Linked DNA regions of Caenorhabditis elegans. The protein of the gene in region 1 purifies or fractionates together with the protein of each later gene. This does not show direct contact. Each region holds a gene or a part of one and is shown in the gene's direction. Other genes may lie near its edges.

Region 1 (7,757 bases):
ACTCCAAATCTTGTTCCTCGTCTTTTCCAAACTCAAAAATGAGATAACTGTATCGTGTCTGTCCCTGACGGATTGGTGGATTCAACGACAACACAAAATATACATGACGTCCATCTTTATGAGGTACCAGGAATAGACGATTGATCGACTTGATAGGAATCTTGTAGTCGTACGTTTTTCCATGAAGTGCAATACTTGTTGGATAAACTTTGATGTCGTATCTTCCACGAGGAGTTGTGCATAGAATGTCGGTGAGAAGACATATCGGTTGCTCCGTCTCGGCTTCCAATCCAGCGTATGCCAGAACAGCTTTCTTGAATTCTTCAACTTTATCAGCATCCTCCTCATTTTCAAGATCAATTGGCATATGGAATCTCATCTCCATGAGCTGAACTTTGCTATCATCATTTTGGTGGAACTCCAAAACTGCCTCATTTTTGTTTGCAATAACATTCGATACATTCGTGCACGGGATTTCGAAAATTGGCTTATCTTCCCATGAAAATTCAACAGTCTTGCCTTTTACTTCGGCTTGTCCGTAGTTCCATCCTTTGATGAAAAGATTTGATTGATCGATGGATTGAGACCAATTAGAAGAAGTGAACGATTGGATTTTCTCGAGGTCCTGAAATTTCAAGTTTGTGATTGAAGTTTTTTGAAAAGCAGCAAGAAAGCAAGAGTGTTTTAAATGAAACTAAAAACAAATCAAAATGAAATGAACAAAAAACTAACAGTATCTTTGAATCCTCCGAAGCGGTGAGCACCTCCATCGTTGAGACCGACTCGTAGTCCCGGCTTGTTGCCAAGTTTTTGCCATTTCAGTTTATCGATATCGGATCCCGTGACATTAACTGATTTTCCACCCTTATCGCCTTTGAAGTTGAGTGATTTTTCAGTCAATTTAAGTGTTCCGAACGCCAAATGACCTACATCTTCAACATAAACTCCCGGGAATTGGAGCTCAGCCATTCTGAAAATTGTTTGTCAATAAGTCTAGTTAACGAGAGAGAGAGGGAAGAAATCGAAAGAAGAGACTTCAGAAAGTATACTCCAGCAGAATGTAGCGACACTGAAAGAAAATATCGATTTTCCGAGCGAAACTAATTACGAAAATAAACCCTCTTTTCGGTGAAATTTGTTCTGGTTTCTTGCAATATGAATTCATGAATTCAATATACTCATTACCAGAGATTGAATATGATTATTTATAATTTAAACAGAAATAACGAAAAGATTTCGATAATTATCATCAGATTCGTATCGATTCTAGAAGAAAAATTGGGAAAAGTGTTGCATTATTTTTGGCGCGCCGAAGCGAAAACAATAAACTACGGTATTCGATTGTACGTGAACACCGAGCATTACTTTGTACGCAAACATGACACCTGACGACATTTCACAAGGATTCATACTTTTTCGTTTTTTTTTCTCAAAAATGTCTAAATTTTCTGATTTTTATAGCAATCGTCGCTAATCAAATAATTTCAGGGCAATGGACGACGATTTGGACCAATTTTTCCATGATGATGCGGAGCAGAATGTAAGAAATAGCAAAATCTCATGTAAATCTTACCAAAACCTTTTCAGGCTGATTTTTCGGATGATGGCTCAGAAGATGAAGCGCCTGACAATGTCGATGTCAATTATGAGTTGGAGAGGGAAGAACCCAAAAGCAAGTCTGTTGCAGAATTCACTAAATTTTTGCAAGAATGCGAATATCCGGATGACATCATAAAATACTTTAAAACGATAAAGTTTTTCGAAAAAGACGCAAAAACTGGAGATATTGTTTCTACAAAATCACTAAAGTTTACTGTAACCGGTTTCATTCAATACTTGTTTGGCACGAAGCGAATTCAGCGTCCAGTTCTCAGAGGAATCGCTAAAATTTTTGGAAGATATGATATTTTCCACTTAATCTCCCCGGAGCTTGTGAAGTCTATAACGGTGAGTTAAAATATCTGTATTTGTTTATACGAATCACACATTTTCAGCACCTAAAAGAAACTCGCACCACCGCCTGGTTCAACCTGTTCAATTTTCTTTCATTCGTCCCGCACCCAACTGATCGAGTGACGAAACCATTATTTCGCCAGTTTTGTGTCAGAACTCCATTCAACGATAAAAGTATGAAAAAACGAAAGCTGACATGGATCTCAACTGACTATGACAACGTTTGGATGGCTGTTATGAATGGAAAAATTAGTGACAAGTTGACACTGAAACTTATTCCATATATCACTCAGAACGTCATTTCGAAATTGAAAGCACCATTCAAATCTGCTGATTTCTTTTTCAAAATGTTCGACAAAACTGACTATCATGGAATTCTTTCGCTTGGTGCTATTTTTCGTCTTATTTCAGAACATAACTTGTAAGAGATTTTATTTGAAATAGATTCATATAAATCTTTATTTCAGTGAATATCCGAAATTCTACGACAAAGTATATTCATTGACGAACCCATCTCTTCTCTATATGAGTCAGAAAGAATCCATTCTGACACTTCTGGATAGTTTCCTGTCGTCTACGTGAGTTGCAATATTCTAGAAAATTTATTCTGAATCATACCTTTTCAGCCATCTCCCAACATACATCACTGCTTCGTTCCTCAAACGACTCTCCCGATGCCTTCTTCTTGCTCCAATTGATGCTCAGGAACCAATTCTTGGATTAATTAGAAATCTTGTGATTAGACATCCAAACTGTTCTGAATTGGTTCATCGTGAGGTTCCTCAGACTCTTTACGATGATCCTTTCGACAATGATGAGACAGATTTACACAAAACTCGCGCATTGGAATCAAGTCTTTGGGAGATGAAACTTCTTCAATGTCACTGGAATCAAAGTGTCAGAAAACGAGCTCATTTCGTTGATAAATCGATTCAAAAAATTGAGTCTTACGTTCGATTCCGATGCACCGACGAGTTATTCTCTGTAAACATGGCAAAATCATTTGGCGGAGAGGATGGAGAAGCTGAAAAATATCGAAAACTGCAAGACGGGGATGAAGACGAAGAGGGAACAGGAAAGCCGGAACCGAAGAAAGCTCGTAGAAAAGGATTTGGTGGGAAATTCGCTCCAAAACACGAAGAAAAAGTCACAAGAGCAGTCGGTGTGAACTCTGAAGCGCCGAAAGGAATTCTTGATAGACAAGTTCCAATCATCGATGTTCCAACTTTATGGAAAATTTAATCAGATTTTTTGTTACAGTTATTGTTGTTCCACTTTTGTTGTTGTTTTTCCGTTTTCTCGTTTTTATATTTTAAATTTTCAAAATAGTACTGTTGTTTTTCTTTTAAAATAATTATTCCAGTGTTTTATTCACTGAAATCATATTTAAATTAAATATCTTGTTCCAATTTCTTATCCATTTTTCTTTTTTTGATTAAAAATATTTTTACAGTTCACAATGAACCTTAACAGCCCAGCTGTATCAATGCTTGGCGGTGACACCCCTGCACATGGTGGACCGAATTCCGTACTTGGAGGTCAAGGACCCTCATCAATTCTCACGGGACACGGTCCCAACTCTGTAATGGGACCAAACTCGATTCTTGGACCTGGAAGTGTTCTCAATCCACAATCAATTCAACCAATGCAATCACAACAAATGCACAGTAAGTTATTTGTGGAAAACTCATTTCAGGGTTTTTGCTTGAAAAGGATAAAACTAGCCCAAAATTAACTAATTTTTTTTAAAGAGACTGCTCATAAAATTTTCACTATTTTTTATGGCATGACAAAAAGTAAATTAACAAGAAATCAGAATTTTGCTGAATCCCGAGACTTCTATCACAGCAGCTGAATTACAGATTTTTTGAATTATCACCCTTTATAGAATATTTTGTTAGTTTTTCGTTAATTTCGGCAAATTTTTATGTCGTTAGGCGTCTAAAAATGAACATAATTGGCATGTCGATCATAAATGGGACTGAATCGACGATGTGAAGCGAGATAAACAACTAAATTATAAAATTATAAATTGTTCAATAAAATACACTAATTAAAAAAAACTGTATCCTAACTGATGCGACAAGGAAAAGTTAGCGAAATTTCAGATTTAAGCGAAATTAATACGTTTTTTTTTCGAAATTTTAATATTGTACAGTTTAAAAAATTTATGAAAAAATCTGATGAACTCTCTGTGCACGTTTATTTTAGCCGTGACCAGTCTTTCAACTTTATAACCTTTTTTCAGTCTTAAAGCCGTTTGTCAAAATTAAAGATTTATATTATTTCAGGCCTTCAAGGTTCTTCAATGCAAATGCATTCACATCTCGCCAACTCCAATCTCAACTTGAACATAAATCCAGCTTCAGTCGGACCTGATCGTAATCCTGGATCAGTTATGCATCACAATTTGGACATCAATCCTCCATCAGTTGCATATCAGAATTTGACAGTTCCAATGACACCACTTGCATATTCTGTATATGATCGAGATGCTCTGACACATCAGGCTCCGGCAAGTAACATCGCTGCCACAATGGTTCCAGCAACTCCAGCAAGTCAATTGGATATTCCGATGCCAGCTCTTCAGAACATTGTCTCTACAGTCAATTTGGGAGTTCAATTGGATTTGAAGAAGATTGCATTGCACGCGAGAAACGCCGAATACAATCCAAAACGTTTCGCAGCAGTCATTATGAGAATTCGTGAACCAAGAACAACTGCTTTAATTTTTTCGAGTGGAAAAATGGTGTGCACTGGTGCGAAGTCAGAAGAAGCAAGTCGATTGGCAGCACGAAAATATGCGAGAATTGTTCAAAAGTTGGGATTTCAGGCGAAATTTACCGAATTTATGGTAAGTGTTTCTGGAAAAAGGTCACAAAATCATTTGAATAATTTTTTTGTAGGTTCAAAACATGGTTGGTTCTTGTGATGTTCGTTTTCCGATTCAACTTGAAGGATTGTGCATTACTCACTCTCAGTTCAGTACTTACGAACCAGAATTGTTCCCTGGATTAATTTATCGTATGGTCAAACCAAGAGTTGTGCTCCTTATTTTTGTGTCTGGAAAAGTGAGTTTAAGTTATGAAATAACCTTTTCTATGTTAAATTTTCAGGTTGTTATCACTGGAGCAAAAACAAAGAGGGACATTGACGAAGCATTCGGGCAGATTTATCCAATCTTGAAGGGATTCAAAAAATAACTTTCTTTTATTAAAATTGTTTTCATTCTTCTTTATTTTCAAATTTTTGTTTCATTTTAAGCCTTCCCTTATCCCTAAACCCGGATCTCGTATAATACAGGTAAAGTAGCTTCATTTTAGACATCTATGCACTTTAGAACCACTTTCTTCAGTCTACCAATCCGATAAAATCGTTTCGAATTCAATAAGCTTTCGATTAATTACTGCTCACCATTTCTCCCCGTACCTTGTATAATTTTGTTGATGTTATTTTTTTTTGAAGAAGTGACATTATCAATGTTCTTTTCAACTTTCCTCTTGTTTTTCAAATTTCTCCCGTATTATTGAGAATAAAGTATTAAAATAGTTGTTGTTCAATCTACGAAATTGAATTTCTGATAATTTCTGTAATATATTTATTCATATTTCAAATTTATAACATTTCAGATTGAAATTTATCGTTTTAGATGATTCCAGCTGATATTATTGCATCAATTGCTGGATTAGTAAATGAAAAAGATATTGAAAAGGTATTTCATTGGTTTCTACATTTTCAGATATAAAAGAATATTTCTTAACCCGACAAAACTCGGATTTCGATCTCACTGTCAATTCTGTTTTTAAAAAAGTAATTAAGTTTCGAATTTAGTAGAATTTCTCCAAAATTTTTTTGCCAAAAGACTAGGAAAATTTAAAAAAAACAAACAAACTGAAATTTTAAAGGTTTAGTGAAAAAACTCCGAAAGAGAAATTGAAATTAGTGAAAACACAAGAAAACCAGAAAGAAAGTCGATTTTAATTTATTTTGAATCCGTAACAACTCAAAAACTTGAGCAAAAGTTTCGAGACCCGAAGAACTCGAGGGATGTCCAACTGGGGGGATTACCAACTCGGGGGATTGGCCCCGCCCACAGAACCGTGGCTTGCAATACGCCCATTTTTGCAACTGCCGCACGGTTTTAAAATTATTTTTCTTGTTAATTCTCGCTCTATTGAGAAAAATACAGTTTTAAAACCGTGCGGCAGTTGCAGAAATGGGCGTATTGCAAGCCACGGTTCTGTGGGCGGGGCCAATCCCCCGAGTTGCTAATCCCCCCAATTGGACATCCCCCGAGTTCTTCGGGTCTCAAAGTTTCAAATTAAAAAAAACAACACTAGAACCATAAACATCACATGTTGCTAAAGAATATCCGCGAAAAATGTAGAATAGTTTTTTTTGGATTTTTTTCCAAAAACTAATTTTTCGTCAAAATACAAAAAAAAAACACATGGTTATAAGATCGCTCACTTTTGCGCAAACAGTTTTTTGAAAATATAAAGATTCATAGTATCCGAATGAATTCAATTTTTTCAGATCACTTCTGAGTATCAGGACAACATTTGGGAATTCGTGGAATCACTTGTGACTCATGTTCTTGCCAGTAATCATGTTGGATATTCTGGTAAGAATGAATATTTTAACACCCTAAAAATATTAAAACGAGATAGAAGTTTGGAAAAAAAATTCAATTACAAAACTTATTTTTTTTAATTCAAAAATCGTACAGTAGAAATAATAGTATAAGGTTCGATGTGCTCTGTGAGCCAGAAGCTGCAAAAAAGAAGTGCAACAGGCTGGCTTCTCTGTGCTCTCCAGGCGCCGGTCGGTGTATGGGCTCGGCGCTCGGCGCCCGGAGCCTCTGTCTCTGTTGTGTTACTTCGTGTGTGCATGTGCTCTGGAGAATAAGGAAAACGAAGAGAAAAAAGCAAAGACGAAACGAAAAAAAAACGGGGGAAAAAGCAAGCACATGCATGCGAAAAGTGTGTTGAAACTGGAGAACTTCTCGTGCTATGTGGAGCCAACGACAGCGAAACGAGTCGGCGGCGATGGTTGGGTGGATGAGGGCTTCGTCTAGTGGGAATCGACGGTTTGGTTCGATTCTCTACCCCTTCCACGACGCATTGATTTTAGGTTAGGCGGTTTTGCAATAATGAGATAGGATTCCTCTAGGGATGAGGATCAAAATAAATCTATTTTTGAATTTTTCACAAAAAATCAACTAAAAGTCGTAACTGTAGCAAATCGTCAAAAATTGTAGGCATCCTGAAGAAACCTGGCACCAAAAAATCAGAAGGACTGAAAAAAACCACTCATTATTTTTGAATTTGGATTTTCTCAAGTTTCAAAAGAACAGAAAATTTTCAAGCTATTTTCAGATTATAACACATCCTCGTTCATATCAGAAGAACTCGCTCGCCAAAAATTATCATGTGGTCTGAATATACCAAATGCTGTGTCAAAGTCCTTATGGGCACTACACTTGGCACATGAACACGTGGAAAAATTGAAAGATCTTTCTGATATACCTCCAATTGGATATCGTGTTATACTTGAGTTCTACCTAGTTTGGCAACAGCTTCTCATTGATCCAGAGGAAACTATTCGCACTGAAATTGAACCAATTGTAAGTTAAAAAATATATAAATGTGGATAAAAAGGTTATACTTTTTTTTTTTTTTTTTTTTTTTTTGAAAAAAATTTAAAATTTATTCAAAAAAAAATCAGACTTCTTTCTTGGCTTTTTTCTACGGTTTCGACGAGGATGTTTCAGTTGATCCTCCACATTCTTCTTTGATTGTTTG
Region 2 (4,909 bases), on another chromosome or scaffold:
CTTTGCGCGTCGAATTTGGTGTATTCACATTACACACTGATTTCTGGCTTCCCTTGAAATGGAAGAGTTTTTGCCGAACTAGGCCGTTTTGGCTCGGCCATATCTGGGGTAGATTTACGGCGCGTTGCGTGTCGCGTCGCGGCTCGATTTTAGTTGTAAAACTAAATGTATTTGTCCGTGTGGAGTACACGACTTTCCCAGTCCGGCAGGCGATTGTCAATGGAGCGCGAAAAATTCAATGAGGAAGGCAATAACCCCGTAGTACTCTAATTAAGTGTCCCGTTTTTACGAAATTTTTATAAAAATTGGTTTTTTTTGTTTTTAGAGAAAATTATGAATATATTTTCTTGTTTTTCTAATCAACAAAAGCGAAATTTAATGTAAAATTACACGGGGTTCTGGCCTTCCTCGTTGAATTTTTCGCGCTCCATTGACAATCGCCCGCCGGACTGGGAAAGTCGTGTACTCCACGCGGACAAATACATTTAGTTTTACAACTAAAACCGAGCCGCGACGCGCCGTAAATCTACTCCAGATATGGCCGAACCAAAATGGCCTAGTTCGGCAAAAACTCTTCCATTTCAAATTATGAGTCCCCATCATGCCTAAGAACCCTCTATTTAGGTTACTGACACATCTGAAACCGGTGCTACAGTACCCTGCGTGGTGGGACCCGAAAATTTGAAATTTGGCAGAAAATGGGCAAGATGGGAGTCATTTTGAAGCTGAGAATGAGGAGAATGTGAATTTTAGAGTAATTTAGAGAAAAAAGTGAAATTGGGGAAAAAAAAACAATTTTTTTGGAAATTTTTTCATTTCAAAAATGTTCTTTAAATTGTCGTTAAATTCGAATTTCTCGATTTTCAGCTGTAAAATGACCCCCATCATGCCTGGGAATGCTTCAATTTCACACATTTCCCCATTGACACAGCTGAAACCGGTGCCACAGTACCCCGCGTGGTGGAAAAAAAACCCGAAACTTTCAAAAGAAATCCCTGATTTGTTTTACACTGAAAAATTGTTGAATTATCACGGGAACACAAAATTCAGAGAATGCGTATTGCGCAACAAATTTGACGCGCAAAATTATTAATATCTCGTAGCGAAAACTACAGTAATTTAAAGAATTTAAAGAATTACTGTAGTTTTCGCTGCGAGATATTTTGCGCGCCAAATATGTTGCGCAATACGGGCTCTCTGAATTCTGTGTTCCAGTAATTTTTACTTATAATTATTTTCCATAGACCAGTAAAACATTTACTGATTAAAAAAGCTCTCGACACAACTGTCACTAAATAATTCATTTTTTTAAAAGAAATTTAATGTTTTTTAGTGTTCAAATCATCCAATTTGTGATTTATTATCTGCTCCATGAGTTCCTGAGACCGATCTACCATCTGGCGGTGTACTTCTAACCGGAAAAGTCGATAATGTGGATGCTACGACACGCTCCCGAATTTATGTCTTTTTTTTCGTTTTTCTTTAAAAATAATACTCAATTTTCTTGAAACATTTTCATCGAAAATGTTTTTTTTTTCAATTTTTTTGTAAGTTTTTCATTTTCCCACTCAATTTGTACTGAATTCGATTCAATTCCAGCGGAAATTAATTTAAATTCAGCTCTTGGCAATGTGCCAAGAAGCTGGTGGCCTAGAACTCGAAATACTGGCCTAGGATTCATGCGGGATTTCGGAGTGTCGTTGCACCGATTTTTTCAAAATTAATTTTCGTTTTGCCGCGAAAAACGAGAATTATTTGGTTTTTAAAACGTTTTTTAACGATATTTTTCGATTATTTTCATATTTTTCAGGGTTTAAACTGGAAAATGTGGTTAATGTAAACTGGTTAATGTTGTAAATCCTTGAAAAAACCTAAACCAGTAATTTTCTCAATTTTTAATTCAATTCAGGATGCTACAGTTTACGGAGATCCTCGGAAGAGTTGATCATCAAGGATTCGCACAATTGCTTGCTAATCCGATTTTCCAAACCAACCGTGTCGGCCAAGAGGTTTGTAAATAATGTTTAAAATGTTAAAAACACCGAAAAATTCCCTTTTTCCAGAACTCGCAGCAATTCACAGTCCGAAATGGCGTCGAGCAGGAGCTTTGCGGTATTTTAGGCGGTTCAGAAGGCGACTGGACACGTCAGACGCACTCAGTTCAGAAGCAGATGATGTTTGGGGAGCGTGGCATCGAACTTCCGAGCCGCCAGCCGAAAAGTCACACCGCCGAGGATACTCTCACTGATGAAGGTGTCGTGGACGTGCCTGAAGCTGTAATGGATGATATTGACGAGGAAGAAGTACTTAATCACGGCCTCCTTGAGTGTTCATAATTATTGGAGCGAGCTCGCGTGGCACCTCACGAACTCCAGAATTTGCGGGAGTTCGTTCCGCGGGAACAGCAGTTTTTTGTTATTTTTGGCTTCTATAGGAAATATTTTTGATTTTTTGTTTTATAATATTCTTGAGAAACATCATCCGAATTGAAAATGTGTAAAATTATGAAATTGGCCGAAAACTGGAAGTTTTACAGAAGAAAGCCACTATAGTTTTTGAAAAAATGTATCAGGATCGCCAGTTTTGCGATTTATGCGTCGTAAAATATGTCATTTTGTAGAGAATTAAAAGTTTCATAAAAATTTTCGTTTGAAATTTTAATTCGTTAATTTCTAATAAAAAAATATTCAAAAAATCAACAATTTTACGTTAAAATCTTATTTCTTCAATTTTTAAGTTTTCAATAAAAACAATTTTAAATTTTCAAACAAAAATTCTTATGAAACTTTTAATTCTCTACAAAATGACATATTTTACGACACATAAATCGCAAAACTGGTCCTGATACATTTTTTTAAAAACTGTAGTGGCTTCCTTCTGTAAAACTTTCAGTTTTCGGCCAAATTTTATAATTTTACACATTTTCAATTCGGATGATGCTTCTCAAGAATATTATAAAACAAAAAATCAAAGATATTTCCTATAGAAGTCAAAAATAAAAAAAACTGCTGTTCCCGCGGAACGTGTTCCCGCGAATTCTGGAGTTCGTGAGGTGCCGCGCGAGCGCGCTCTAATAATTATGAACACTCCAGGTGGCCGTGATTAATTAATAATTTATCATGAAAACAACGTTTTAATCTTTAAATTTTCCAGCTCGACGAGGACATTTCTCGTGTTAAAGTGGAGACGGATCGAGCATTCTTCAACCACATGCTTCTTTCGAGACCTGCCGCAGTTCCCATGAATCCAGCACAGGCTATGGAACGAGATGTTCGTTAAAATCCCTTGCGCGGCACACCTCACGAACTCCAGAATTCGAGGGAATTCGTTTCGCGCGCACTTCTATAGATATTATTTTCTATTTTTTTGATTTATAATGTTGTTGAGAAGCATTTTTCCGAATTGAAAATGTTTAAAATTATGAAATTTGACCAAAAACTGACGGTTTTACAGAAGGCTTTCTTTAAAATGTATCAGAACCGTCAGTTTTTTGATTTCAAAGTCGTAAAATATTTAATTTTGTAGATAAAAGTCTGTTTCACAAAAATCCACGTTTGAAAATTTAAAATTGAAAATTGTTTTTATTAAAAACTGAAAAGTCTAGAAAAAATAAGATTTTAACGTAAAATTGTTGTTTTTTTGAGTATTTTTATATTAAATTAAAGGTGGAGCACCAAAAATTTAGACTTTGCTTTTTTGGACCCAAAATGTTCCAAAACTACCAAATTTCGTAATGAGACGTTCTGAAAATTTCTCAACAAAAAAAAGTTACGACCGCTCAAAGTTTTGGAAGAAATGGTCTATTTTCAGCTAAAATCTCAAATTTGTCAGCTTTTCAGTGCTGCATCGGTTGGTACTCAATTTTTATTTGACTAGCACTCTTTAATACATATTATGGTAGTTTATTACGCGTTTTTTCGTTGATTTGAGCCCATTTTGGGTTGATGGGTGCACAAAATTGTATTATATTTGTGCACCCATCGACCGAAAATGGGCTTAAATCAACGAATAAACGCGTAATAAACTACCATAATATGTATTAAAGAGTGCTAATCAAATAAAATTAAGTTCCAACCGCTGCAACACTGAAAAGCTGCTAATATTTGAGATTTTAGCTAAAAATCTACCATTTTTTCCAAAACTTTGAACGGACATAACTTTTTTGTTGAGAAATTTTCAGAACGCCTCACCACGAAATTCGGTAGTTTTGGAACATTTTAGGTCTAAAAAAGCAAAGTCTCAAATTTCGGTACTCCACCTTTAATTTCTAATATAAAAATATTCAAAAAATCAACAATTTTACTTTAAAATCGTTTTTTTTTATAAAAGATTTTCAGTTTTTAATAAAAACAATTTTAAATTTTCAAACGTCGATTTTTGTAAAATACTCTTTTCTCTCTACAAAATGACATATTTTACGACTACGAAATCGAAAAACTGACGGTTCTGATAGATTTTGAAGTAAAACCTTCAGTTTTCGGTCAAATTTCATAATTTTACACATTTTCAATTCGTATGATGCTTCTCAACAATATTATAAATCAAAAAATTCAAAAAAGAATTTCTATAGAAGCCGGAAATAGCCAAAAACTGCTGTCCCCGCGCGAATCGAATTCCCGCGAATTCTGGAGTTCGTGAGGTGTCGTGCTCGAATAATTATGAACACTCCGGGAGACCATGGAAAACAGGGGGTTCTGGCCTTCCTCATAGAATTTTTCGCGCTCCATTGACAATCGCCTTGGGAAAGTCGTGTACTCCACACGGACAAATACATTTAGTTTTACAACAAAAATCGAGCCGCGACGCGACACGCAACGCACCGTAAATCTACCCCCAGATATGACCTGGCCTAGTTCGGCAAAAACTCTTCCATTTCAATTTATGAGCGGAACCAGAGTTCCGTGCTCGT

What was found.
Region 2: the proteins of tbp-1 (region 1) and npp-13 purify together in Caenorhabditis elegans (affinity purification with western blotting, with the first as the bait; one study listed by BioGRID). This does not show direct contact.

Annotation. Positions count from the first base shown.
Region 1 is NC_003281.10:7,380,627-7,388,383, forward strand, and holds tbp-1 (TATA-box-binding protein), read left to right. Parts: upstream 1-3,406; 5' UTR 3,407-3,412; coding exon 3,413-3,620; intron 3,621-4,244; coding exon 4,245-4,807; intron 4,808-4,859; coding exon 4,860-5,024; intron 5,025-5,069; coding exon 5,070-5,156; 3' UTR 5,157-5,498; downstream 5,499-7,757. Other genes in the region: hmg-4 (FACT complex subunit SSRP1-A), read right to left, coding at 1-625, 733-969; T20B12.3 (nucleolar complex associated 4), read left to right, coding at 1,493-1,540, 1,588-1,947, 1,995-2,374, 2,421-2,531, 2,580-3,195; Tetratricopeptide repeat-containing protein trd-1, read left to right, coding at 5,603-5,665, 6,490-6,577, 7,332-7,579. UniProt on the Caenorhabditis elegans protein: The TFIID basal transcription factor complex plays a major role in the initiation of RNA polymerase II (Pol II)-dependent transcription.
Region 2 is NC_003279.8:2,095,437-2,100,345, forward strand, and holds the start of npp-13 (Nuclear pore protein), read left to right. Parts: upstream 1-1,909; 5' UTR 1,910-1,910; coding exon 1,911-2,009; intron 2,010-2,063; coding exon 2,064-2,303; intron 2,304-3,153; coding exon 3,154-3,270; intron 3,271-4,909.